4 linked regions of the Rattus norvegicus genome follow. The protein of the gene in region 1 binds, or shares a complex with, the protein of each later gene. Links are inferred from orthologs where the notes say so. Each region holds a gene or a part of one and is shown in the gene's direction. Other genes may lie near its edges.

Region 1 (4,259 bases):
TTATTTATTTTTTGTGTGTGCAGGTATATGTTACCGAGTAAACTCTCTTCTTCCACCAAAGAAGGCCATCAAACTTGGTAGCAAGTGCCTTATCCACTGAGCTATCTTGCCAGCCCTCTCACTCAACATTTGTTGAGATTCTCCCATTTTCTTTTTACGGGACCTTCCAGGAGTTGGAGGTGCAGAAGTGAAAGAAAAGAAATAAAATTTCTGGCTGGGTGTGATGGTGCAATGCCAGCACTTGACAGGAGGGTGGGGAGTTCATAGTCTCCCTCAGACACAGAAGGAGTGGAGTTTGAAGACAGCCTCAGCCTAAAAGGAATACAGACCTCAGCCCCTTCTTCCTCCTTTCATACTTGACCACCAAAGGAGCAGTTTTGCTCTACCACACATTCCCTCTTGGGACCCAAATAAATTAATAATTTAACAAATAAAATGTTTCTAATAGGCTCTAACATTCACTGCGTTGTTAACTTCAAATAAGCTGTGTATGGAAAAGACTCACGGAAGAGGCAGATGACTAATTAGTTAACTAAGCCCCTTTCGTCTTCTGGAAACAATCAATTGAAAAACACTGAGAAGAGTCAGAGAAAGTAACCTTCCAACCAAGGAGTTCTGACAGGTAGAAGCAAAGTATAATTTGCGTGTGTGTCAGTTCTCATTTAGAGCCCAAGTTGGCTTCAAATTCACGGCAGCCCTCCTTTCAAATGCGGGGATTACAAGCGTAAGGCTGCAACAAGATTTTGGACAGGATCTTTTAGCTGTAAAGGCCGTATCGAGACAGTTGGGGAATTTGGATACTGTAGAAAGATTACGGGTTGGGGATTTAGCTCAGCGGTAGAGCGCTTGCCTAGCGAGCGCAAAGCCCTGGGTTCGGTCCCCAGCTCCGAAAAAAAGAAAAAAGAAGAAAAAAAAAAAAAGAAAGAAAGATTACATGGTCGTATCACTGTTAGTTTTCTATTCGGGTAGCTGTATTGAAATTACTTAAGGAAAGGACCTACATTAGTCAGGTTTTTTTTTTTAATATTACCTTAACAAAACATGTGAGACAAAACCGAGTGTCCAATCTCTGTGAATCTGAGGCCATTCTGTTTTACAGAGCGAGTTCCAGGTCAACCAGGATTACAGACAAGGTGATAGTCTCCCTAGAACGACAATAACAACACAAAATGAAGACAGCTCTTAAAGAGGAACGGTTTCTTTTATTTTGGTTCAGTTTTGGAGATTTTGGTCTAGGACTGGTCCCATAGCTTAGAGCCTGTGGGGAGAAATACATTACAAAAGCTAAGCTCTTCATCTGGAGGCCAGCTAGGAAAGAGGAGGTACTGCACCCTCCTACAAAGGGCGTGGTCATCGCGGGAGGAACCAAGAATGGGCGGAGACGAGAGCTACCCTGTAAGGGGCGTGGTCTTATTGCTGGAGTGCTCTGGGCGGGGACTAGATATCACTTCCGGTTTGTGAGTCCGCGTGTGAACCAGCGAGCTCATGGCTACGCCGGATTCTCCCGGGATGGATGGCCAGACTGGAGACACGGAGACAGAGGTGCTACAGAGTGCAAGATGGCAGTACTGTGGAGAGCCCGACGACAGGCAGAAAGCTGTGCTGGGTAAAGACCGCCGGATAGGAGCAGAGTTCCGCATAACCCTGTCCCCTTCCAAGATCTGGGTACCACGGTAGCTCCCTGTCCACTGCCTGGAGCTGGGACAGGACCCCTGCCACCATCACCTCTTCCCTCCATTCATCTGTCATCACTTCGTATACTTCTTAGGACACTGCCCAGGATCTGACATCTCCACAGGTCTCTCATTCGCCCTTTTTCCCCTCTAGGAGCAGAGTTCCCTCTCTTGCCAGTAAATGGAATTCCCTCAGTAATTTTCTTCTGTCACAACCCTACCACGAGGTCACTTTCTTTCCCCTCCTCCAATTCCCTCTTTAGAACTGAACCAGGATTTCCTTCAATCCCCCTAAAAGTCGGACATGAGCTTCCTTGCCGTCGCTACCGGCTTCCAGCCACAATGCAATCCCCTCATTATCCCCCACCTCACCCTGCTGGTCCTGCCCGTGTCTCATTCTTTTTTTTTTTTTTTTTTTCGGAGCTGGGGACCGAACCCAGGGCCTTGCGCTTCCTAGGTAAGCGCTCTACCACTGAGCTAAATCCCCAGCCCCTAAAGAGGATTTTTTTTTTTTGGTTTTTTTTTTTTTTTTCTTTTTTTTCGGAGCTGGGGACTGAACCCAGGGCCTTGCGCTTGCTAGGCAAGCACTCTACCACTGAGCCAAATCCCCAACTCCGCCCGTGTCTCATTCTTTGGTTACACTCTTACAGTCCAATTCTCCAATGGGAAGCTGCAGAATCCAGGCAACATGCGCTTCACCTTGTACAACAGCACCGACTTGGTAAACCCCAGGCAGAAGTGCCATCGGATCCTGGTAAGTGCTTGCTGGTACAGGTTGTCTGGGTTCTGCAGACCTCAGAAGGTTCTTGGTGTGGGCAGACATGGCGGGGGGTAGGGGGAGAAACGAAGGAGTAGCAAATGGGACTCTGGCTCCATTGAGGAGCAAGATTTGGGGTGAACGGATAGCTTTTCACTTATATGGGTTTTTATCTTTCCAGACGGGTTTTCTTTGTTTATCCTTGACTATTCTGGAATTTACTACCTGGCTGGTCTTGAACTCAGGGAGTCACCTGTCTCTGACTCCCTAGTGCTGGGATTAAAGGTGTGCAGCACCAGCCACTCCTGGCTTCATATGTTTCCCCCTTATTGAATATTCACCATGTCCTCTTGTAGCAGGCTAAGGAAGCACCTTAATGGGATTTGCAACTCCTAGGGAAGCTGTTCAGAGATCAGGTTCAACCCTGTTTTATGTGTATGGGTGTTTTTCATTTTTGTCTATGTTCTGTGTATGTGTGTAGCTAATGGAAGTCAGAAGTGGGCACTGGGTCCCCTAGAACTGGAGTTACAAATGGTTGGTTGTGGAACCTTGTGGGTGCTGGGAATCCCATGAAGGTCCCATGGAAGAGTGTTCCTGACCCCAGAGTGATGCTTTTTTGTTTTTCTTGTTTTTTTGAAGGTTTCTTTGGGTAGCCCTGGCTGGCCTTGAACTCAGGGACCTGTCTCCGCCTGAGTGCAGGGATCTGGGATTAAAGGCATGTGCCACCACCACCCAGCCCCACAGGATGCTTTGTAGCATCTCTGGCCTCTCCTGGGTGGATGCCAGGGTTAAGAGCATCTGCCCTCCAGAGACTCAAATTCACCAAGTAGTACAGGCATACAGTAGACGCAGCTTGGGGTCTAAGGGAGTGCTTAGAGCCTAGCGAGCTCTGTAGGAAACCTAGTCTCTGCTCGTCTGAATGCCTTCCCGAGAAGGGTGAATCGGAATGAAGGATGGTGTGATAGCTGACGTTTGGTGTCCATAGTGAAAAGACAGAGAAGAAAAGCTTGTCTGTGATGGGAATCGAGCCAGCCGTTTCCAGTGGCCTCGGTGCATAGGGAGAGCTAATGTCAGAAAGGTCGGCAAAGATCTAGGACTTGGGCTAAGGCAGTTCTGGACAGGATCCCGGTACCTGTAAGTGCTAGAAGACCAAGGCCTCACTGGTTAGTTCTGTTGTGCCGCCAACTGCTATTTTTATCTGTATTCCCACTGCCTTCTGCCCGCTGCCATCCCCCATATCTCCCTCTTGCCGGTTGCTTGCCACCCTCCCAAATAAGTCTTTCATGACATACATACTGGGCTGGAGAGGTGGCTCAGCAGTAAAGAGCACTTCCAGAGGACCTGGGTCCAATTCCCCGCACCCAAATGGAGGCAACAACTGTCTATAACTCCAGTTCCTGAGGACCTAACACCCTCTCCTGGTTCCTGTGAGCACTTCATAAATAAGGCATGCATATATGCATAAAGGCCAAACACCCGCAACACATAACTATCTCATTACATACATACTGTATCAGCCTCTCTCTCTGGTTTTCCTTTCTTTTACAACTCTTAATTATGATTCTACTCTCATGCCTTGAATGTGTGCACACTCACACACTCACAGAGTCACACCCAGACTTTGCATATGAGAAGAAAAACGCTTTTTTTCTAAGTCTGTTTTATTCCACTTCATTTCCCCACCAGTATCATGGTTTTATTTTTCTTTTTCCTTTCTTTTTTTAGATTTATTTATTATATGTATGTGAATATACTGTCTCTTTCTTCAGACACACCAGAAGAGGGCATCAGATCCCATTACAGATGGTTGTGAGCCACCATGTGGTTGC
Region 2 (7,965 bases), on another chromosome or scaffold:
GGGTCTGGAGAGATGGCTTAGTGATTAGGAGCACTGGCTACTTTCACATCTCAGCACCCATATGACCGCTCATGACCATCTATAACTCCAGTAATGAATCAGACACCCCTTCTGATCTCCATGGGCGCAAAGCGTGCATGCATGTGGCATACACAGATATACTCAGGCAAACACTCAAAACAAAGAAGTAACCCTAAAAATATTGTAAAGATTATCAATTATTTGTATCTATAGTCACTCTACAAGTGATAAGCTTCATAATATTAGAGGCTCTTATACCTAATATTTTGTCTCACTGACTTCTCAGATATTCTTTTAAGATTTATTTCTATTTTTAGTGTGTACTGCCATTTTGTCTGCATATGTCTATGTACCACATGCATGTAGTCACTCAGAAACCAGAAGAGGGTGTGAGATTCTCTGGGACTGGAGTTACAACTGTTAGCTGTTATGGCTGGCTATCGCTACCAGTGGGAGTTGAACCTGGGTTCTCTAGAAGAGGAACAAGTGCTCTTAACCAGTAGGCCATCTCTCAAGCCCTTCTTAGATATTTGCTTATTGCTTTGAGATTGAAAAAAAAAATTACCATCCTAGAGCCTGATGTGGAGGTTTTGTGACTGTAACCAGACACAGGCGGATAGGCAAGAGTACTATGAGTTCTAGGTCAACCTGGGCTATGAGACCCTGCTTCCGAAAAATAATGGCCACCTCCCTTGCACTTCTTCTTTATAGAATACATTTTTTATGTGTGAGTGTTTTGCTTGCATGCATGTTTGTGCACACTTGCATGCCACTGTGGAGGTAGGACGAAGGCATTGGATCTCCCAGAACTGGAGTTATAAATGGCTGTGGGCATCCATGTGGCATGGATGATGGAAAATGAACCGGGGTCCTCTGAGAGCATCCAGAGCTCTTAACTACCGAGCCATTTCTACAGCCAGATACTTTCATTTCTTGCACAGGGCATCCAATATGGTACTATGATCATAAGTCTCAAAATTCTAATCATTATCACACAGTAGCTAATCTTTCCCTCACAACTATCTCAGGGTTGGGGATTTAATTCAGTCGTAAAAGGCTTACCTACTGAGGCCCTGGGGTCCATCCCAGCAGGCATGCATGCACACGCATGAGCACCCCCACACACATGAACCATAACAGAAGTTTGTTACATGTTGAGGCTGGCTTGGACCTTGCTCTGTAGCCCAAGATGGCTTTAAACTCACAACCCTCCTGCCTCAGCTCCCCTAGTACTAAGATAAAGGGATGCACGACCACACAGACATGCTGTATCTTTTATTAAAGCGTGTGCCAGTCTTCCATGAAATCTAGAGCTATATACTGTAGACTTTGTATCTCTGGTTCAAGCACCGACTAGTGTATTTTCTCCATATTCTAACTTTTCATCTGTATTAAAGAGAGAACACAGATTTCAACTACACAGTCTGGTCTCAGCTCTAACCCTTACACAGGTGCTAAATATGTATTGGACAGACAGAGCTTTTAATGGGAAAGGAACGTCATGCCTTATACTGCTTGTGCAGTAAAGGCAGCGGTCAAACCACGGTGGATGTCTGAAGAATGTCCAACTTTAAAGGGAAAGTGGGGCTAATTTCTACTTTGAAAGAAGACACAGGTAAAATTTAGAGTTCAACCATCACAGTCTCGGCAACAGAGCTTTGCCAGTTTCACCCCTAAGTAAAACGACAGGGTCTGTCCTCCGGCATCTTGCTCAGGGGTTTTAACTACTTCTCCAGGGTTTAATCTCACAATAAGTGCACAGAAAGACAGATGAGGGTCTCTTCTATGAAAGAGTAGTTTATGTCCTTTAGAAAGTAGTTATGTGACTTAGCATGGTAATCAGGTTGGCTGCTGGAGGGCTGGGGACGCTGTCTTCAAGCTGGTCCTTCTTCAGTATACGTTTTCCTTACTTTGTACGCTTCTGGTGAATGAAACGACACGACTTTACATTTACTCTATTGTTCACTTACTGGATGGCAGGTATTTAAACACGGGTGAATGGGAGCTTAGGAGAGTGGAAGATGGTCTGCAAGTGAAAGCCAAGACCAATCTCCTAGTAAATCCAAAGAAGTGCTTTAATAACTAACCTCCCTCTCCCTCATCTGGCAAGTGCCTAGGGAGAGAAGAGCCCTAGTCACACCAGTTGCACCATCTTCAAATCCCTAAACTCCCTCTCACCCTCACCATTCCACACTCCTTACGAAGCTGACTCACTCAAGTGCTCAGAACTGCCCAAAGCTGACGCGAGGAAGCCGGTGTAGCCGAGAGACGAACGGCCAGGAGGGCCCAAAAGAATGCTTCTTAGCTTTGCTTTTGACTACTGAGCGGCTGCAAAAGGAAAACAAAACGGTCTCGGGAACCAGCAAAAGTTGCGGTTCTCTCAATCCAAGAGGTATCAGTTGCTCTGGAAAAATCAGTACAGTTTTAGGGGGACGCTCCCGCCCCCTTCCCCTGCTACGTGTAGGATTCCCTGCAAAAGCAAATAGTCCAGGATTAGTGCGGAGCAGGAAAATAGCGAGTGGCCTAGCACTAGCTACTCGCCTTAACTTGGTCGACGTCATAGTCCCAGACTGCGTGCCGCCGTATATTCCCTTCCGCCAGAGGTTCGGCTCCTTCCCTTAAGCGGCCTCGAGTACCTGCGCCATTAATTATGACGTCACGACCCAACGGCCACCAGGACCCGGAAGACGCTCTAGCCCGCCGGGCGCACTCGCTGCCTGGCGCCTTGGGATCGGACGCTCTAGCCCGCGGCTGGGATCTGTACTCTATCTCCCTTCCGCCTACCTCCTGCCGCACAAGGCTCCCCAGCAGCTGAGGCTCCAGGCTCCTAGCACTCCAAACTCTGCGGTCAGAGGATCCTGTGGGAGGAGGACTCAGGTAATTCCCGCTAGGGAAGCGGTGAGGAACCACCTTCAAGGCCAGACTCCTGCGCCTCAATAATAAACTCCTCTTTCCCAGCTCTCATCCGCCATGGAGCTGGCCCGCCCCTGCTCCAACTTTCAATCAGACTTGGATTTCTGCCCAGATTGTGGCTCCGTCCTGCCGCTGCCTGGAGTTCAGGATACTGTCATCTGCCCTCGTTGTGGCTTCTCCATCGATGTGCGAGGTGAGGGGCTGGTATGCTAGCTACGTCCACGATGGAGGTGACCTCAGCACTGGTTGGGCTTAGGGAGGTGAGACTCAGAACAGGAATCTGTTAGGGAGACATTGACCAAGGGAAGAAACTCAAAGGGAGGTCGTGACTCACCTGGGAGAGTGTTGCTGGGATTCGTTGCCTCTTTTGCTATTTCTACTGTTATTTTTTATTGGTTTGTTTATTTTTACTTCCTGTGCAGATTTTGGAGGGAAGGTTGTGAAGACCTCAGTAGTGTTCAACAAACTGGGGACTGTCATACCTATGTCTGTGGATGAGGGACCTGAATCCCAGGGACCAGTAGTAAGTTGATAAGGACTAGCTCCAAAAGAACAATGGAAAGGGGAATTGGGAGACCTGGTTTTGCACTCCATTCCGTGAGAATGTCCAAGGAGTGCAATAGTCTGATTTCTATGTGGAAGCAGAGACTATGATTAGAACTCCATAACCCTTCTGTTCCTTCCTAGGTTGACAGGCGCTGCTCCCGATGTGGTCACGAGGGAATGGCATACTACACCAGACAGATGCGCTCAGCTGATGAAGGACAGACTGTCTTCTATACCTGTATCAACTGCAAGTGAGACGATTACCCCTCCCATTGCCCCTTTTCAGTGCTTGCAAAACAACATTAATGACAGACTCATATTATTTCATTTGGTCCGGTTCATTAGAGGAGGGTTTGTAGCCCCTTTTTATTTTTATTATTTACTTGGCGTTTTTCAAGACTTAGAGCTCACCCAGGCTGGCTTTGAACTCTCAACCATACAGCCTAGGTTAACCTCAAGTTTCCTGCCTCTGTTTCCTGAGTGCTGAGATTCAAGCATGTGCCACTGCAGCTGGCTTGTTAAAAAGACTGTTTATCTTTTAAAGTTATGTGTAGGTGTTTATATCTGCATATTTGAACGTGCAGGTACCCACCAAGGCCAGAGACCTTGGGTCCCTGGAGCTGGAATTACAGGTAGCTCTGAGCCTTTGGATGTGGGTGCTGAGAACTGAACTTGGATCCTCTGCAGATCCTCCTAAGCGTTGAGCTATCTCACAGCCCCCCCAACACCCACCCCCTTACTGTTTTTACAGCTAGTTTTCTAAACCTATTAAGATGTATGAAAAGAGAGCTATGTGTGGTAATGTGTGCCTCAAAAGGAGGATCGTGGTTTCAAGGCCAGCCTGAGCTACACAGGCTGTCACCAAAGCAAAATGAAAACCAAAGCTTCTAGGAAAATTTAAAGCACAGGAAGTAGGCATTGTTCTGCACAGTTGGACAACATGCTGAAATTTTACACTGTGAAGGAGTGACTTGACATAATCTTGCATGATTCAAAGGACGTGGTCTGGATGGTTTGGAGCAGTCTTGTCTTGGTTGTTGTGTAGTTCTACATAATTGTGTGGCTTTCTGTGCTTTTGCTTTTTGTTGTTTTCCTTTCTCCTGGGGGTACCGCTTTAATTCTCGGCCTCAGGCATGTGAAAGAAGTGCTCTGCACTCAGTGGTGCCCCGAGCTCTCTTGTATTTGTTCTCTTTAGAATTGTAATTAATGTTTTTCTTCTTCTTAATCTTCTTATGCTGCTTCTACCTCTGAGATTCAAGGATTACAGGCGGGTCGGTGCCACCATAACTGTTCTGAGGATCCAACTCTGAGCTTTGGGAGAACTATATAAGCACTCTTACCAGCTCAACCACATACCAGTCCCTTAGGTTTCCCAAGCTGAGACTTGACTTACCTTTTGTCAGTCTGGAAATATATCAGCCATTATCCCATTCCAGTATTGCTTGTCCCCCATGTCCTCAAATTTCTTATTAGACTTTCACATCTCTCATCTTTGTATTTTCCATCCCATTTCTGTTTATAGAGTCTTCTGGGTAATTTCTCCAGATCTTTCTTACAGAGAGGTCAGAAAAAGATGTCAGATTTTTCTCTTCAGTTTGTATGTTTGTGGTGGGGAGAATGTTGTAGGTGTAGTGTATTTATGTGTTCATGTGGATGTATGCATGTATTTGTGCATGTGTATATTTGGTAGCCAGTGTTAGACACTGGGTATTTCTCTCTCTCTCTCTCTCTCTCTCTCTCTCTCTCTCTCTCTCTCTCTCTCTGTGTGTGTGTGTGTTTTGAGACAGGGTTTCATTATATTCTTGGCTAGCCTAGAAATCTTTGGAGACCAGACTGGCTTCAAACTTCCAGATACCAATCAGCCTCTGTCTCCAGAGCGTTGGAATTAATGTATGCCGCCACTTCCAGTTCTCCACATTATCTTACGAGGCAGAATCTCTGATCCTGGAGCTCAGACTAGGCCGGTTACCCAGTCAGTGCGTTTTGGACATTCATTTTCCCACTGTCCCATGTTTCCCAGATCTAGTAGAGCCCATTCTGTACATGTGGACTACCACACCCAGAATTTTCTTTACTTTTAAATGGATCCCAGGAATCCAAATTCAAGTTTTCATGTCTGTGCAACAGACCCTTTCCCAGCTGAGCCGTCTCCTCTGCCCTCCCCTTCATTACTACTTTTTTCAAATGTCACGAACCATCCAGTTAGCTTGTGAGTCATTTTAAATTTTCAATCATTTCACTTAACACTTTTATGTGTGTGTGTCTTGCTTGCATGTGTGTAAGTGCACTGTTTGCATGTCCGGTACCCAGAGAGGTCAGAAAAAGATGTCAGACTCTCTGGGACTGAAGTTAAAGATGGTTAGATGAGCCACCAGGTGGGTGCTAAGGATCAAACCTGGGTTCTCTGCAAGAGCAACAGGAGCTCTTAACCAGTGAGCCAACTCTCTGCACCCACTAATCATTTAAAGTTGCCCCTTTTATTCTTTAAATGTGTATGTTAAGTATATTAAACGTGTGTGTGTGTGTGTGTGTGTGTGTGTGTGTGTGTGTGTGTGTGTGTGTGTGTGTGGTGATTCTAAGATCCACCGTTTCTGTGGATCTGATACTGTCTGTTTCTGCTGATGTCTTCACGGTATTGTTTTGCTTTGCAATGTTTGACTGTGTGCTACTTATTTTATGACTTGAATTCTGGGTCTCTTTCAGTGTGGGTGAACCCAGGTAGCGTTCCCAGCGTTTATAGGGTTCTTCGAGAAAGATCTGTTCCTATTGTTTCCAGCTACAACCTTTAAAAAAAAAAATTATGGGTTACAGTTTAGCCTTTTCTTTTTCTTGGCTAGTGATTTTCTGTCCTGGGAAATCTTTGCATACTTCATAGTAAGAATTAGATACTGGTCACCGTGAGGTTAGAGGTAAAGGGTGGTTTGGGGGACGCTCACCCATCCCTGTCATAAGAAAAACGTCCTTCATGGGTTGGATCTCATCTCAGACTGCTAGAAATCCTTTTCGGTTAACTACAACATGTCTTCTTTCTCCATAGGTTTCAGGAAAAGGAAGATTCTTGACCCCTTTTTCTGGCAGCTCAGCGGCAGTCCTTTCCTCCTCTTGGACGTGAAGATTCTGGTCTTTGATGCCTTCTTGGTCTCCTCCGGTTATCAGGCTTTGTTTTCAGAATAAGATCATCGACCCAGAGTACTCCTTCCCCTTGTCGAATTTACTAAAGTTATTTTTCTATGAAACTTTGACGTTATCTGTGTCACTCTAAATCTTCTGTCCTGGTCGGGCACTGGTGATATTTGCCCTGTCACGGATAGACGGACAAGGAATTCAGGGCCAGCCTGAGCTACCTAACAAGCTAAAAAAACTAAAAAAAAAAAAAAAAAAAAAAAAACCCAATAATCGGTCTCATTCCAAAGGGAATTTAAGTGAAACAGAGATCCAGCTATAAAAAAAGAAAAAAACTATAATAAAATAATGGAGTTGGGCATGAGGCTGTTGTGGGTCTAAGAGATTCCCAAGGATCATAAATAAATTTTAATAAGAGGCTTTATTAAGTACTCATGGCACCAGGACTGCAACTGAGAGCACTCCCAAGATGCAGCATCAAAGCCTATAAAGTTAAAAACCACCAGATTACATATACTCTGCCTGCATGTAGGCAGAGTCTAATTTTAGCATTAGTGTCTTAGCCATTGAGCAGAACAGGTAAATTTGGGGTTAAAAGTTTTGTGGATGGGGGTTGGGGATTTAGCTCAGTGGTAGAGCACTTGCCTAGCAAACGCAAGGCCCTGGGTTCAGTCCCCAGCTCTGAAAAAAAGAAAAAAAAGTTTTGTGGATGGATTGGTGTCTCTAGTGCTCCACTGGGGTTCCTCTCTGGCTACAAGAGGTGGGCTCTTCAGAATTCATATCCCCAGTGTAGTGTGAGTCATAGCAAAGGCCACCTCCATTGATTCTTGGGTGCCTTCCCTTATCCCTCATCCTGGAGAGAGCCCCCCAACCCTCCACCTCCTCACCCGTTAGTTGCAGATTTTTTGTTCATTTTGATGGCCATCCAGCCATCTCTCCTTTCCCTCCTGGCACCTGATCCTGAACCCATTCCCTTACCTATCCCCCTCCTTTCCAGTTCCCTCCCTCCATCTGCCTCATGACTATTTGATTCCCCCTTCTAAGTTAGAGTCAAGCTTCCTCACTTGGGCCTTCTTGTTTAGCTTCTTTGGGTCTGTGTAATGTAGCATGGTACCTGTATTTTATGGCTAATATCAACTTATAAGTGAGTACATACCGTGCATGTTGTCCTCTGAGAGGCTCCACCCAGTTGCTGACTCAGACAGATACAGACACCCACAGCCAAACAGTGTGTGGAACTTGGGGACTCTTATGGAAGAATAGGAGGAAGGATTTCAAGCCCAGAAGGGAATAGGAACTCCACAGGAAGACCAACTGAGTCAACTAACCTGGACCCTTAGGGCTCTCAGAATCTGAACCACC
Region 3 (7,368 bases), on another chromosome or scaffold:
TGGCATTCTAGCCAGTGAGTGCCATAAACAGATGGGTAGTAAATGTAAGCTAGAATGCTGGGAGCAGAGGCCTGTAAACACTCCGTAATTGTAGTAGTCAGGGGAAACACATGCCGTGGATCCTTAGGAGAGTGTCGAAGACTTAGAAGATGGCCATTACGTTCCTCCCATTGTCTTTATCTGTTTCTTTTTTTTTTTTCTCCTGCTCCTCTTTTCGTTTGTATTAGGTTTGTTTGTTTGTTTGTTTGTTTATTTATTTATTTATTTATTTATTTATTTATTTATTTATGCTTTGCTTACATGTGTGTATGTGTTCCAAGTGCATGCCTGCTGCCCTCAGAAGAAGGTATCAGATCCTCAGAAATTAGAATTATGGATGATTGTGAACCACAAGTGCATGCTGGGAATGGATTCTGGGCCTTTTGCAGGAGCAGCAAGTGCTCCTGACTGCTGAACCATCTCTTCAGTTGCCAGTTTTTGATTCTTACAGCACAGTTGTTGCTTTATCCACTTATTAGCCTCCAGTTGAGACTTGGAACTCTCTTGAGAGGAGAGGTACACGTTTGAGGTCCCTGGGACATGGTTACATCTACAATTTAAGAAACAAATTAGAATTAGATATTTTAAATAGGATGAGGCAGTAAGTAAAGATATCAATTAGCAGTTATTGAAAGGAAAATGATTAAAGGGGTCGAAAGATTTAAGAATATACAAGGTGATCACTAACATGAAAACACAAGCAGTTATGTTAAGTATTCTAAACAGCTTTTCATCCATTAGGGAAACATTATATAAAGGTGTATAATAGGAGTCATTATTACAGATGAGAAACTGATAACTTCTGTAACAGAATTGGATAATGCAGCCATTTAGAATAGAATATACTGTTTAATTGATCTGGACACCTCCCTTCCTTGATACTATGCCAAAAGTATGCTTAAAAAGGCCTTTTTCCCCCACAGTGCATATTAGGTTCCAGTGTTACTCGAGTATTAGTTGAGTATTAATAAATCAAGGGATAAAACGTTGAAATAATGAGAATTATATTGCCATATTAATTGTCCCATGTTATTTGTACCATTTATCCTGTATAGTTTATGTTTTTAGACTTGTGGGCGGTCCTGAAGCACCAGTACGTCTGTCTTCTTATTTAAAAAATATATGGAATTGAGACTCCCGTGCTAATGTTTAAGTCTTCTTAACAGCGTTTCCTAATAGTCAGACTGTTGCCTCTCTTTCTCTGTGGCAGGATTTTATTTTACAAAAAATATCCTATTTCAACTTTGGACTGTTCTCTTAGAGAAAGTAAGTAGTTTTCTGAAATCACATCGTAGCTTCTAAGTTGAACCTTTAAGAGGCCATTTGTCAGGGAATAAAATAAAACACAGCATACTTTGGCACCCTTGGGTTATTTAAAGATGTCAGATGCATTTTATCCTCCTAGTCCCAAGGAAGTCTTAAATGCTTAAAATGTCCCTTAAACTTGATCTAGTTGCCTCCTATATATCCTAGGTGAAGTTACCATGTGAACCTCATGTGGACCGTATGTATTGAGATATATATATATATATATATATATATATATATATATATATATATATATATTTTAAATAAAGAGAAGATATTTAGTGTTAAGAAATCTGTCTTTGAATATGTGATGCTTGGTAGGTTACTCTAAGTAGTTTCCCAAAAGTCTTACGGGTTTCACAAATTCATTTAGCCTTGCACTCAGTGGGCATAACAGTCCTTAGAGATGCTGAACCCTGTGGGTCCTGGTATCCCCTTGGTGGCCATAATTTGCAGTGTTTACTGTTATGAAAATATCATTCACTATGCTGAAATGAAATTTAAAGATTAGCACAACCTACCCATATAGTTAAAAATTTTACATAGTGTCCCAACCCTGTAAACCATTTTAATCTATGACATTTGAGCATAATGGTCTGGAAAACTAAGACGTTAGGTGCTTCTTCACTTATTCATAGAGTTGCTGGTTAAGTGTTTCAGTCAAATGCAGATTGATCCAGACATTTTGCATGTGTAGCTCAGATAGTACACACTCCATCTACAGTTACTGGTGCTTTTATGACATGGTTATTTCTGTTGACCTACCACAAAATAGTCTTTCTGGCATACAAGTATTGCTCCATTTCTACAAGTGTTTTAGTATGTTAGGAGTATATAAAGTTGACAAATATAAATTGATATACTTGTTTTAAAGTGTAAATTCTATCCTCAGCAATTTATAAACAAGTTTGTCCCTTATTTAAGAATCCTGCATAGAGACTGCTTGCACATACATGTACAGAACTGTTCTGTACACAGCAGAGTTCCTTTCTGGCTTTTGCAGTGTCTGTGATAAATGCAGCAGTGACATTTGTTTCCAAGTGCCATTTAGGGACAGCGATGTCTCCTCGCTAGATTCTTCTCAGTATTATATTAGAGGAGGTTTCTAAGAGAAGCAGAGACTTTTCCTTGACAGTTGTGGTGGATACTTGTGTTTTCCTTTTGTTCTGTTTCAACGTCCCTCACATTGCCTATGATGTACGATTCCTCCTTAGGTAAGCCACAATGTATAGAAGCTAAATTTTCAGTACTCTCCTTGGAAGATCTCTGAGTGTATGGGTTTCCTAATTTGGTAGCTATTACAATTCCTTTCCTATGGGTTGTGGCTGTTTCACTAAAATAAAATCTATTATATAGAAATCCTTTTTCTTACTTTAGGTGGACTGTCCTAGAAATTTAATTGAGGCCAATAAAACATTTTCTTCTGTCCATGACCTTAGAGTTGTACTTTGAATCTAAACATTTGTACAAATGGATTCAATAAAATTAGGTTACAAACAGTAATACATTTTTACATGTGGGGTGTGTGTGTGTGTGTGTGTGTGTGTGTGTGTGTGTGTGTGTGTAGTTAGGGAAATTTCCTTCAGGAAGTTTTTTGTGCGGAAGAATTAGTAAAGCTCATATGTCTTCTTAGTTAATTGGCCTTTTAAAATAATCATAGGCTGTTAGTCTTGACTTGAAATGTGTCTACTTAAGTGTAAGTCAGTTCTCAAATGATATGGTTGTGTCCATTAACATTTCTTTTCAGTAGAAAAGATTTTAGTTTGTTATTTTTCTGTATTAAGTCATTGGTTCCAGTGATCAGGCTGTAGCTTAAACAGTCATGCTTCCCTTATTATATAGTATCACATATAGAAACTAGTAATAGTGGATAGTGTCACAATTGCCTGTGTTTAGTCAGACAGTATCTAGATGTTTTCTTGCTTAGTTCCATTATTCCCCCTAGTATGACCGATTCAGATAGGTAGCATATGAGTGTCAGTTTATTGCAGTGCTTAGTTCTGAGTGCCTGTGCTGCTGGTCACTTTAACTGAGACAATGGAAATTTTGATGAATGATAATTGCTAGGATGGCTAGTGTTATTAGCCTATGAGACTAGGTGATACCATTATGTTTGGGAAGGGGTGGTATGTCAGAGAGATAACAGCAGATTATCTTTAACTAGGATTAACAGTATCTTTTCCCCCCTTTTACAGCCTTTTAGGTGTTCCCATTGCATATGATAACATCAGAGTTGTGGGTGAACTGGGAGATATTTATGATGATCAAGGACACATTCATCTTAACATTGAAGCCGATTTTGTTATTTTCTGCCCTAAACCAGGGCAGAAACTGATGGTATGTACAGCCTTTTTTTTTTTTTTTTTTTTTTTTTCTTACTTCCTTTACATAACTTTTTTTCTGGAAATGCCTTGACCTAGCACCCTTCCTACTCCCTAACAATCACTGTTTTCTCTTGGGTTCCTTTAAAAATGAACTGTAGTTTCCACATATGGAAGAAAATCAGTAATTGTCTTTCAGTGCCTGTTTGCTTCAGTAACATGATTCAGCTCTCTACATCACTGCAGATCACAGGAATTCTCTCTTCTGTGTGGATATGTTTGTTCCATGGTATTGCTCTGTGTATGTAAACTCCAGCTATCCATTCTTCTTCTGACGGTGGTAGACAGCAGCGTCTTACCTGTTGTGGGCAGTGCTGAATAAACCTGGGCGGGTGCACAGGCTCTTCTGCTCCGTGTTGATTTTACCTCTTGGATTATTATCATATGGTAGCACTCACTACCTTTTATGATTCCTATAGTGTCTGTTGACTTACATTCACAGGAGCAATTGTGTGAGTTCTTTTTGCTCACATCTTTTCACCATGTAATTTTTGTGGTTGGTATTAACCATTTAGGTGAAATATCGAGTCATTTTCTTGTTGCCATAACAAAATACTTGACAGAAAAGGCTTGAAGGATGAAAGGTTTTGTTTGGCTTCTGCTTTACTTGGCAAGGAGGCACAGAGTACAGAAGTTTTCATCCTGCTGGGCCAAGAAACAGAAAGGAATACTGGTGTCTGACTGATTTCTGCTTTTCTCTTACTCTCTCTGGACTCCAGCCTTTGTTCTCACAGCTCTGTTAATCCTCTTCGGAAACTGTGTCATAGACACCCAGTAGTGTGCCATGGCCTACTGGGTGATTCTAAGCCCTGTCAGTCTTTGAGCGTGCTTAGCCATTGCAGGTATAGCATTGAAGTTGTGATTCGGAGTTCCCCTGTGGCTAAAATGTGAGCATTTCTCCCATGTGTTTATTGGCTACTTCTACTTCTTTTGAGGTGTGTTTCGTCAAATCATTTGTCCATGTTTTTAAAGATAGATTTATTTATTTATTTATTTATTTATTTATTTATTTATTTATTTAATATGAATACACTGTAGCTGTCTTCAGACACACCAGAAGAGGGCATCAGATTCCATTACAGATGGTTGTGAACCACCATGTGGTTACTGGGAATTGAACTCGGACCTCTGTAAGAGCAGTCAGTGCTCCTAACCACTGAGCCATCTCTCCAGCCCCATTTGTCCATTTTTATTTGACTTACTTTTTTGTTCTTTATGTTTCTGAGCTCTGACATTTCTCCTGTCTTGCGTGCCGTTTCTCTAACTCTTGAGTGTTTCCTTTGAGGTACAGAAGTACTTTAATTTTATATAATAATCTCACTACAATTAACAATCATTTAAGTGTTTTTTGCTTTTGTTTCTTGTGCTTTGGTTGTCCTCTTTTTGTTTGTTTGTTTTGTTTTTTGTCTTTTGTACATCTGTATAAAGATTTTGTTTTTAAATTCTATAAAGAACATTATTAGTCATTTGGATATTGCACTGTGGCTTGCTTTTAGCAATATGGTCATTGTAACAGTATCTGGACTTCCACATAAGAACTTAGGGAGCTAGCCAGCTTGCTTTCTTCTTTGTTTATTTCTTTTTCTTTCGTGTTTCTTTTCGTTTCTTTCTTGTCATTTTATCTTCCTCTCATTAGTTAGTTTTGCTTTACATCATAGAGGGCTTTCATTTCAAAATGGAGTTTATTTAAGTAGTTAATTTTTGTGTGGCTATTGAGAATAGGGTTAAATTGTATTTATTAGGAAAGCTATTAATTTCGTGTCTTTATTTTTGTATGTGCTACCTAACTGAATTCATTTGCCAGTTCTAAAATCTTTGGTGGAACCCTTAAATTCATCTATATATTCAGTCATCCTGCCTACAGATGGGGATAATTGAGACTTTCCTATTGCTGTGTCTTCTCTTTCATTGTAGTGCCTACTTGCCCTGGCTAGTCTTTAGTCTGACTGTGTGTGTCTTTTCTAAGCCTGGCCAAGTTTCTTAATAAGGACATAGAGACTTATTTTTATTTAAAATGCATATGGCCTTAAGCTAGGCTTGCTCCTCAGCTATCTCTTAACTTATATAAATCATTTATACCATTCTATGTCTGCCACATGACTGGTTACCTCTTCTCAGTTTCATACATCTGACTTCCTCTGTGTCTAGGTAGTGAATTTTCCCATGCCTGACTCTTTCCCAGAGTTCCTATCTCTCCTGGAACTTCTACCTTCTACTTCCTTTTGCTAATAAGCCATCAGAGCTTTATTGACAGGTAATGTTTTTAATAGTGCACTATAGATTAGTACTCTACAGAAGGAGGGCAGTGAGAATTGATTAGTTATATGATCATGATTTTAATCCTTTATTCTAGTTATGTAGTTACATTGTATTTAACTGATTTTTGTATGTCACACAATTCTGAAGTCCCTATAGTGAAACTAGTTACCTTGACTGTGTTACATGAGTTTTTGATAACACTGTAACCTTCAATTAGGTGTTCACCGGGAACATGAATTACTAGATATCATTTTGTATTATTATCAAGTTTTGGTACGAAGGTAACATGCACAGAATTAATACCTTTGTTTTGATTTATACAGAATGGCTTGGGAACCGTTGATAGTAGTTCATATTCAAAAGTTTGGTAAGGTTAAGTGATGAAGCCATTGAATCAAAGTCTTTTCTTCATACGGGACCATTACCAACTCAGTGTCCCTGTTTGTTACAGTCTATTCCAATGGACTTGATTCAGCTTGGCTAGGTCATATGTGTCCAGACATTTGTTCATTTCTCTTAGATTTTCCAATATGTTAACATACACTTTTTAAAAAGAAGAAATAACCTCTGATGGTCTTTTAACCGCTGCAGTGTCAGTTGGAATGTAACTCTGCTTTGTAAGCTGATTTGTGTCTACACCCCATTCCCAGTTAGTTTCATTAATTTTGTTTACCATTTCCAAGAACCAATTCTACTCTGGTCTTTATTACCATTTTCCACCTAATTTTGGATTTGCTTTGTTTTCTAAGACTCTGAAATGCACATAAGTTTCTTCCTAGGGCCCATGACCTTCCAAGCCATGGGCTTTGACCAGGTTTATCCTGCTCCACAGCACTCTGACCCTACTGTATCAGTAGGTGTGACGTGCTTGGCGGGTCAGTGTTGTAGCATGCAGAGTCCACCGACTGGCTAAGACTGTTGATGACATCCCCACATCAGCTCTGGCACCATGAAATTTAGCCATGTAAGAAGAAATTTTCATGTCAGTTCCAGTTTTATTTCTCCAATAAAGCAAAGTCTGTTGAATCTTAAGTAGGGTCTTACCATCTAGCTTTGGTGGCCAGCCAAAAGCAGTGGCAGTGTTCTGTGTTGTTTTGGGTTTCACTTGGTCCTCCCTGACCAGTAACTCACAAGAAACAGCTCATACTGGACACTGAGATTTTCGTGTAAGAACTCTTGACTCCTGGAGGAAGCACTGTTTCCCAGTCCCCCATGCAGAGTACTTCCATTCAGACTCCTCAAAGAAAAAGCGCTCGCGCGCGCACACACACTCACACTCTCTCTCTCTCTCTCTCTCTCTCTCTCTCATTGGCTTGCAAAGCCATGTGGTTCTTTTTATTCCCCATTTACATTCAGCTTTGGATATTCTTTATTCCTTCTG
Region 4 (7,368 bases), on another chromosome or scaffold:
GCAGCCAGCCTGGTCTACAGAGCAAGTTCCAGGACAGTCAGGGCTACACAGAAAAACCCTGACTTGAAAATACAAAACAAAAGGACTTGTTCTTTATTTTTGTTTTCAGGAGATTAGCTGTATGTCTAGATGTGACTCTCTTTGTGTTCTGATAGCATTTACTGGTCTTTATAAGAAAAAAACTGATCAACTTTGGAACATTTTCAAGGGTTTCAAAACTTATTTCTTCCTCTTTATTGCTTCTCCTCTTTCAAGACTTAGCCATGCGTTTCATAAATAACCCTGTGGTTATTCACCTTGCTGTGTGTGCAGGTTATGTGTGTGGGTGTGCACATTGCAGCATGAGTGTGGAGGTCAGGGGACAGGGCAGCATGAGGGTGGAGGTCATAGGACAGCATGAGGGTGGAGGTCAGAGGACAGGGCAGCATGAGGGTGAAGGCCAGAGGGCAGGGCAACATGAGGGTGAGGTCAGAGGGCAGGGCAACATGAGGGTGAGGTCAGAGGACAGGGCAGCATGAGGGTAGAAGTCAGAGGACGGCATGAGGGTGGAGGTCAGAGGGCAGCTTTGTGGAATAGTCTCTCTTCTTGCCTTTATGCTGGTTCTAGGAGTTGAACTCCAGTTGTCTTTCGGTCTAGACCTGTTGTGTTGGGGTGTTTGTTCTTGTTACCAGTTTGTTTTCTGGGGATTTGTTCCCTCTTCACTATGGGCTTGTTTTCCTGTGTATGTTGAGCCTGATTAGTGGATGCTGTAAAGTTACTGTTCCAATGTTGGGGTGGTCCCAGGACTGCTGTCCACTGACTGTAGTTTTTCTTGAGTGTGAGTTATGTTTACTGTTTACACTATGTTATAGTGTTTCAGTAATCTCTGTGTCAGCTAACGTCACTGGTAGCCCTTTAAGCTAGGCCCCTGATAGGCCTCTCTGAAGGTGCGGTCAGCCGCCAGTCTTTTTTTTTTTTTTTTTTTGGTTCTTTTTTTTCGGAGCTGGGGACCGAACCCAGGGCCTTGCGCTTCCTAGGCAAGCTCTCTACCACTGAGCTAAATCCCCAACCCCCAGCCGCCAGTCTTGACTGATGTTTAACTGGGTTCTTAGTCTCAGTTAAGCTACTTGGCTCAGTCTCATGCAGTTCTCACCAAAGGTTTACACTCAACATATGTGCAGAGTAAAGGCTCTTCCTCTGTTAGCCACATTTAAAAAAAGGGGGGGGGGGTTGGGGGATTTAGCTCAGTGGTAGAGCACTTGCCTAGCAAGCACAAGGCCCTGGGTTAGGTCCCCAGCTCCGGGAAAAAAAAAAAAAAAGAAAAACAAACAAACAAACAAAAAAATACCTCTTACTTTCCAGCAGCTGCCATGCTATGAATTCTTTTCCTTGATTTTTCTAAACATTAAATAATTAAAAACTTATTTTATTATTTTTATTTTTGAAATCTCAAAGCCCATCCTCAATGACACACATTTCCTCCAACAAGGCCACACCTACCCCAGCAGGCCACACCTACCCTAGCAGGCCACACCTGCCCCAGCAAGGCCACACCTACCCCAGCAAGGCCACACTTACCCCAGCAAGGCCACACCTACCCCAGCAAGGCTACTAATCCCTCTCTAGCTGTGCCACTTCTGATGCCTGAGCATTCAGACATAGGAGCTTGTTTGGGTTTACTGTACCAGGTAGTGCAGTCTGTCGAGGCAAGAGGTGCAGGGTCAGCCGGCCACACAGCATGGGGAGCGGGAGCAGTGACTCTTTGCGCTCAGTTTGCTTTCTCCTTTAGATCCAGTCTGGGAGCTGAGCTCTAAGTTTAAGGCCTGTCTCCTACCTCGGTTCACCTCACCTAGATAATCCCATGTAGACACATCCAGAGATTTGTTTCTATGTAATTTCTACATCTAGTCAAGCTGACAGTCCAGTAGCCATCATTTCTGTATACATATTTGGTTTTAAAATCGTCCTGCTCTGAAAGGATTTCTTGTAAAGGAATGCACAGATGCACCCCTTACCTGTGCCCAGAATTTACAAACACTGTCACAAATTACAAATTACAAATTCTGTGTGTGTATCCACAGGGGTCCTATACTTGTCAGTGTCCTCTGCAGCTCGCAGTGTTCCCATTATATTGCAAATGATAGCATCTGCTGTGTGTCACAAGCGTCTGTAAATAGTGTGTACATTAAACGCAGTTCTGAACTCTAGGCCTGCGTTATTTCAGTCCAGGCGGTGCTGATATTCTTGGTTCTCAAAGCTGATGTTAGTCTCATAAGCAGAGCCACCATGCTTGCCTTACTCATTCTGTGGTGTGTGTTTAGCTCTTTGCAGTTTTGGGAAGCGCTCTGAGAGTTGAGGATTGAAAACAAAGCCTTTTTTTTTCTTCTGTAGGTAAGCAGACCATGGGCTTCCCGCTGCTCACCTACCAAGACCGATCAGATAATAAACTCTATCGTCTCCAGACACCCCAGAGCCCTCTAGTGAGACCGTGCATGTATGATCATTATGACATGGACAACTATCCCATCGGGACAAACGCCATTGTGGCTGTGATCTCCTACACTGGCTATGATATGGAGGACGCCATGGTGAGCGTTCGAGTTCTACCTCTGTAATCCTTGTTCTTAACTGTAAACATCCTCACTGTGAGGTTACTGACACAGTGTTTGTGTGCCCTCAAGGCCATAAAAGTAAATGCATTTGTTCTTGAAATGGTTAATTCCTGGTCTGCGATGAATGGAGGGAGACATTGAAAGATACTCAGTGTGTGTATACCTTCCATATCTGCAGACACACTGTGAGTAAAGGTTGATGTGAGGTTGCTATATTCACCCTTTACCTTGGATTATGTCTTAAGCCATATCTGGGGCTTGATAGTGTTAGAACTTTGGAAATGTGGTTTCAAAATCAAATGCCGGTTACCTTAAACCAAATATTAGTACAGCCTTAACTGGTTATATTTTGAAAGAATTGGTTTGCTCTCAGTCTCATAAATTAATTGGATTCTTTGACTCCACAGATTGTAAACAAGGCCTCCTGGGAACGAGGCTTTGCTCATGGAAGTGTCTACAAGTCTGAGTTCATAGACCTCTCTGAGAAATTTAAGCAAGGGGATGATAGTCTGGTATTTGGGGTCAAACCTGGTGACCCACGGGTTATGCAGAAGCTGGACAATGATGGCTTGCCATTCATAGGAGCAAAGCTGGAGTTTGGTGATCCTTACTACGGCTACCTAAACCTTAACACCGGAGAAGGCTTCGTGGTTTACTATAAGTAAGTGTGGGGACATGTTGGACTACTGGTTGGTTAGTGAGTGGAAAAGTGTGCCACTGGGAGCCTGATTGGTCTGGAGGACACTGTACTGACCAACCTGGCCCAGATGTGATGAGTGATCCCTCTGCCTCTTAAGTGATGGGATTATAGGCCTATGTTGCCACATTTGGCTTATGGGCTGTTTCTTAGTGAAATTACTGGAGGTCAATTAAGTTGTCTTCTAACAGAAGAAACAACTTTAGGTAATAAGCTAGTTATTGTTTTAAATCTCTGCTGTGCTAACAAATAGATAAGACTGGGAAATGAAAGAAATTCTCTCTGTTCTGTGGGCTAGGGCGTTCAGGGTTAAAGGTGAATCCTCATGATGGCCCTGTCTTAGAGTCCTCACACGGGGATGGAAAGGCAAATATAGTGAACAGCTCAGAGCCCTTCCGTGAAACCCCTATCTATCAGGGAGACTCTCTCCTCAGGACCTAAATCTGTCCTGAAGGCCTGACTTCTGACACCACAGCAGGAGAGGTGGTGGCGTGACCTAGCGGTGAACACACGTGGTTGATGTTATTCATGGTCACTGCAGAAATGAGCACTGTGCTGTGTTTGGTGTCTTACTTTTGTGGTAACTTTCTATGGTCATTTCCTTAAACATGGCATTAGGGGTGAATCCTAGCCAAAATACTGGGTTCTTAGGCCTCTTTATAAAGATGAATAATTATCTTAGCTGATTTTTTTTTTTTTCTCTTTTGGAGCTGGGGACCAAACCCAGGGCCTTGCGCTTGTTAGGCAAGCGCTCTACCACTGAGCTAAATCCCCAACCCCCATCTTAGCTGATTTATAATGACAGCTTCAGTGGACTTGCCTAGAAGATTTTCATTTGCTAATATTCTCTCAGATAAACACAATTAGTAATCCTAGTCATGAATATCATCTAACATCTATTTACATTGTGAGCAGATGGGGAGCATTATATATATATATATATATATATATATATGTATATGTATATATATATATATATATATATATATATATATTCTGAAACATTAATCATGTCCACAGGGTTTAAATATTTTTAAGTTCAAACCAAGCTTGACTAGGCTCTTTGTCACATGCCTGTTCCTAGCACATGGGAGACAGAGACAGGGAGATCACTGCAAGTTCTAGGTCAGCCAGGGCTAGACACTCACAAACAGAACAAGCTGCTTGACTTCTTATTTCATGCATTTTCTTTAGGAGTAAAGAAAACTGTGTTGTGGACAACATCAAAGTGTGCAGTAATGACACAGGAAGTGGGAAGTTCAAGTGCGTCTGCGTCACCGTCCGAGTCCCCCGGAACCCAACTATTGGAGATAAGTTTGCCAGCCGCCACGGACAGAAGGGCATTTTGAGCAGATTGTGGCCAGCTGAGGACATGCCTTTCACAGAGAGTGGGATGATGCCGGACATTCTGTTTAATCCTCATGGGTTTCCCTCCCGTATGACCATAGGTATGTTAATCGAGAGTATGGCTGGGAAGTCAGCAGCTTTGCATGGTCTCTGCCATGATGCAACACCCTTCATCTTCTCCGAGGAGAACTCTGCCCTAGAGTACTTTGGTGAGATGTTAAAGGCTGCCGGCTACAACTTCTATGGCACGGAGAGATTGTACAGCGGCATCAGCGGGATGGAGCTGGAGGCTGACATTTTCATTGGTGTGGTTTATTACCAGCGCCTACGACACATGGTGTCAGACAAATTTCAAGTCAGAACAACTGGAGCCAGGGACAAAGTCACCAACCAGCCCATCGGAGGCAGGAACGTCCAGGGTGGGATCCGATTTGGGGAGATGGAGCGGGATGCTCTGTTGGCGCACGGCACATCTTTCCTTCTGCATGACCGCCTCTTCAACTGCTCCGACCGCTCTGTGGCCCACGTATGCGTGAAGTGTGGCAGTTTGCTTTCTCCGCTGCTCGAGAAGCCTCCCCCATCTTGGTCTGCGATGCGTAACAGAAAATACAACTGCACCGTCTGTGGCCGCAGTGACTCCATCGACACTGTCTCTGTGCCGTATGTTTTCCGGTACTTTGTAGCTGAGCTGGCTGCCATGAACATCAAAGTGAAACTGGACGTCATTTAACTTGATCACGGCCATCTGCGCTAGGAGAAGAGAACAAAAGGTGCCTTTAATCCAGTGAGGATACTATGGGTCTGCTCTGGGTCTATATAAGAATTTCAGTACGGAAATGTCTCAGTAACCTACTGAAGTTGGTTTTGGTACATTCATTTTTAAAAAAAAAATTATGTGCCTTCTTTAAAAAATGACTTAATTGATAATAGGTCATGCAGGGCCCTTCTGGGCCCAGGTTCACTCGCTGTTCCCTGCTTTGAGTAGTAGAGTGTGTCCGCCGTCTAGAGCAGGGCAGTACAATAAACAGAAAATGGAAGCCATATGGTAATATTTATTTTTTCTAAAGATTTATTTATTTTATTTATATGAGTACACTGTAGCTGTCTTCAGACACACCAGAAGAGGGCATCAGATCCCATTACAGATGGATGTAAGCCACCATATGGTTGCTGGGATTTGAACTCAGGACCTATGGAAAAGCAGTCAGTGCTCTTAACCACTGAGCCATCTCTCCAGCCCGTAATATTTATTTTTATATACATATAAACTAAAGCTATTTTGTATATATAATTTGCTGGGTGGATTGGAATGTAGGTGTGGTCCGTGTTGTCATTATCACAGTCAAGGGGACTGACTAGATGTATTGATCAATGTTGGTCATGGGTGCCACAGTAGAGAGAAGCCCACCAAGGTGCTAATGATTTCCATAGGAGCAAAGGGCTTCAGCCTTCTTGAAAAGACTGACCCCAACTAGCACATTTCAGTTACTTTTATTCAGTCATTACACAAATTAATTGGGTCTGGGAAAGGTTCCAACTGCCAAAGTTATCTTGCTTGCCCTTGCTGCCTGAGAAAGCATAAAACCCATACAAATCCCCTTTGACCGTGCCTAGCCAGAATCAAAGGAAGAACTCTAGGATTGCCAGGAGTGTCTCGGTACCAAGGAAGGTCTGTGCGACTGAAAACTCATGTAGCAGCAAGTACACTTCGAGGGAGGCAGCATTTCTTGAAGGTTCAACAGTCTCAAAAAGGTTTTCTTAGCCTCTACTTACTCACCCAACATAGCAGAGACTTTGTTGCACAATTTCACGCAGACCAGACACAAAGACTTCCTGTACATTGCACTACACAGATCTGTCATCTCCAGTTTCCTTGTGCACCTTTGAGTGGTGTGTGTGTGTGTGTGTGTGTGTGGTGTAAGTTGAGATGACCTTTTCAGAGTTACAAGTGAGTGTGTATAAGTTGAGATGTCGTCTTCACAGTTCCAAATGCAGCGCAGGTATCAGCTACAAGTGCTGGCCTGTCAGTTTGGCTTTCCTTCTAACTCAGAGTGGGATCATGCAGCACCTGTCCTGTGTGATTGCCATGTTTCACATAGCATGACACCCCCCCCCCCCACTGTCAGCCATTTTTTAAAATGGTGGGACTTCCTCCTTTAAAGCTGGATATATCTGATTAGTGAGTAACTATGTTTATTTGGGTTTTTTTCCTTAATCTTTGTATGTGTTTCTCAGTGCTTGTTAGGATTCTGTGTGTATGCTTCTGTATAACATACTGTTCCCTGTTAATGGGCGTTTGAGTTTTTCCATAAGGAAAACACCTTGTATTGTTGATACTTCTCCCTTGTTATTAATAGCTCAGCTTTAGACCCAGACACACCCTATTCTCTATCTCTCCATGATCCTATACCTGGGGTTACGGTGTAGATCTAGTGTCGAAAATATTTGTGTTTTAAGGGTTTTGAGGGTAGGATTCATTATGAAGCCAAAATTGCTTAGCCATCTCCTTGCTCCAGCCTCCAGAGTGTGAGAATTATCAACATATCCCACAATACCCCGTTAAATTTTTTAAAATTAACTTTGATCTCAAGTTGTAGATTCTTGACTAAGAAATTGCGTGACATTACGACAATCCAAGAGCTCACTCAGCTTTGGACAGTGATGTGTGTTGTGTGGACTGTTTCCCTCTGTGTAAATTGCTCTTACACACAGGACATATTGCCACACACACAG

The links.
Region 2: Polr1e (region 1) and Polr1h share a complex: the UniProt entries of both Homo sapiens proteins name them as parts of the RNA polymerase I (Pol I) complex. The link is inferred for Rattus norvegicus from reciprocal best matches to the Homo sapiens genes POLR1E and POLR1H.
Region 3: Polr1e (region 1) and Polr1f share a complex: the UniProt entries of both Homo sapiens proteins name them as parts of the RNA polymerase I (Pol I) complex. The link is inferred for Rattus norvegicus from reciprocal best matches to the Homo sapiens genes POLR1E and POLR1F.
Region 4: the proteins of Polr1e (region 1) and Polr1b are in contact, whole or in part, in a cryo-EM structure (PDB 8A43), measured with the Homo sapiens proteins. The link is inferred for Rattus norvegicus from reciprocal best matches to the Homo sapiens genes POLR1E and POLR1B. Residues at the interface, in NP_071935.1 of Homo sapiens: Gln27, Ser29, Asn30, Gly31, Tyr69, Thr76, Leu79, Lys80, Cys81, Leu84, Cys85, Met109, Gln110, Pro111, Leu112, Phe113; in NP_061887.2 of Homo sapiens: Lys254, Ser258, Phe259, Ser260, Tyr262, Gln263, Gln266, Ser295, Thr296, Gln297, Ser338, Thr340, Glu341, Ala532, Cys535, Pro541, Ile542, Asp543, Gly544.

The regions. Positions count from the first base shown.
Region 1 is NC_086023.1:64,073,664-64,077,922, forward strand, and holds the start of Polr1e (DNA-directed RNA polymerase I subunit RPA49), read left to right. Parts: upstream 1-1,459; 5' UTR 1,460-1,485; coding exon 1,486-1,606; intron 1,607-2,323; coding exon 2,324-2,427; intron 2,428-4,259. UniProt on the Homo sapiens protein: Component of RNA polymerase I (Pol I), a DNA-dependent RNA polymerase which synthesizes ribosomal RNA precursors using the four ribonucleoside triphosphates as substrates.
Region 2 is NC_086038.1:1,597,373-1,605,337, forward strand, and holds Polr1h (DNA-directed RNA polymerase I subunit RPA12), read left to right. Parts: upstream 1-2,797; 5' UTR 2,798-2,898; exon of another isoform or gene 2,899-2,979; 5' UTR 2,980-2,991; coding exon 2,992-3,127; intron 3,128-3,356; coding exon 3,357-3,457; intron 3,458-3,621; coding exon 3,622-3,731; intron 3,732-6,517; coding exon 6,518-6,542; 3' UTR 6,543-6,716; downstream 6,717-7,965. UniProt on the Homo sapiens protein: Core component of RNA polymerase I (Pol I), a DNA-dependent RNA polymerase which synthesizes ribosomal RNA precursors using the four ribonucleoside triphosphates as substrates. Can mediate Pol I proofreading of the nascent RNA transcript.
Region 3 is NC_086024.1:55,782,148-55,789,515, forward strand, and holds part of Polr1f (DNA-directed RNA polymerase I subunit RPA43), read left to right. Parts: intron 1-3,542; coding exon 3,543-3,684; intron 3,685-7,368. UniProt on the Homo sapiens protein: Component of RNA polymerase I (Pol I), a DNA-dependent RNA polymerase which synthesizes ribosomal RNA precursors using the four ribonucleoside triphosphates as substrates.
Region 4 is NC_086021.1:136,805,933-136,813,300, forward strand, and holds the end of Polr1b (DNA-directed RNA polymerase I subunit RPA2), read left to right. Parts: exon of another isoform or gene 1-353; intron 354-408; exon of another isoform or gene 409-1,565; intron 1,566-2,370; coding exon 2,371-2,567; intron 2,568-2,998; coding exon 2,999-3,252; intron 3,253-4,482; coding exon 4,483-5,365; 3' UTR 5,366-5,676; downstream 5,677-7,368. UniProt on the Homo sapiens protein: Catalytic core component of RNA polymerase I (Pol I), a DNA-dependent RNA polymerase which synthesizes ribosomal RNA precursors using the four ribonucleoside triphosphates as substrates.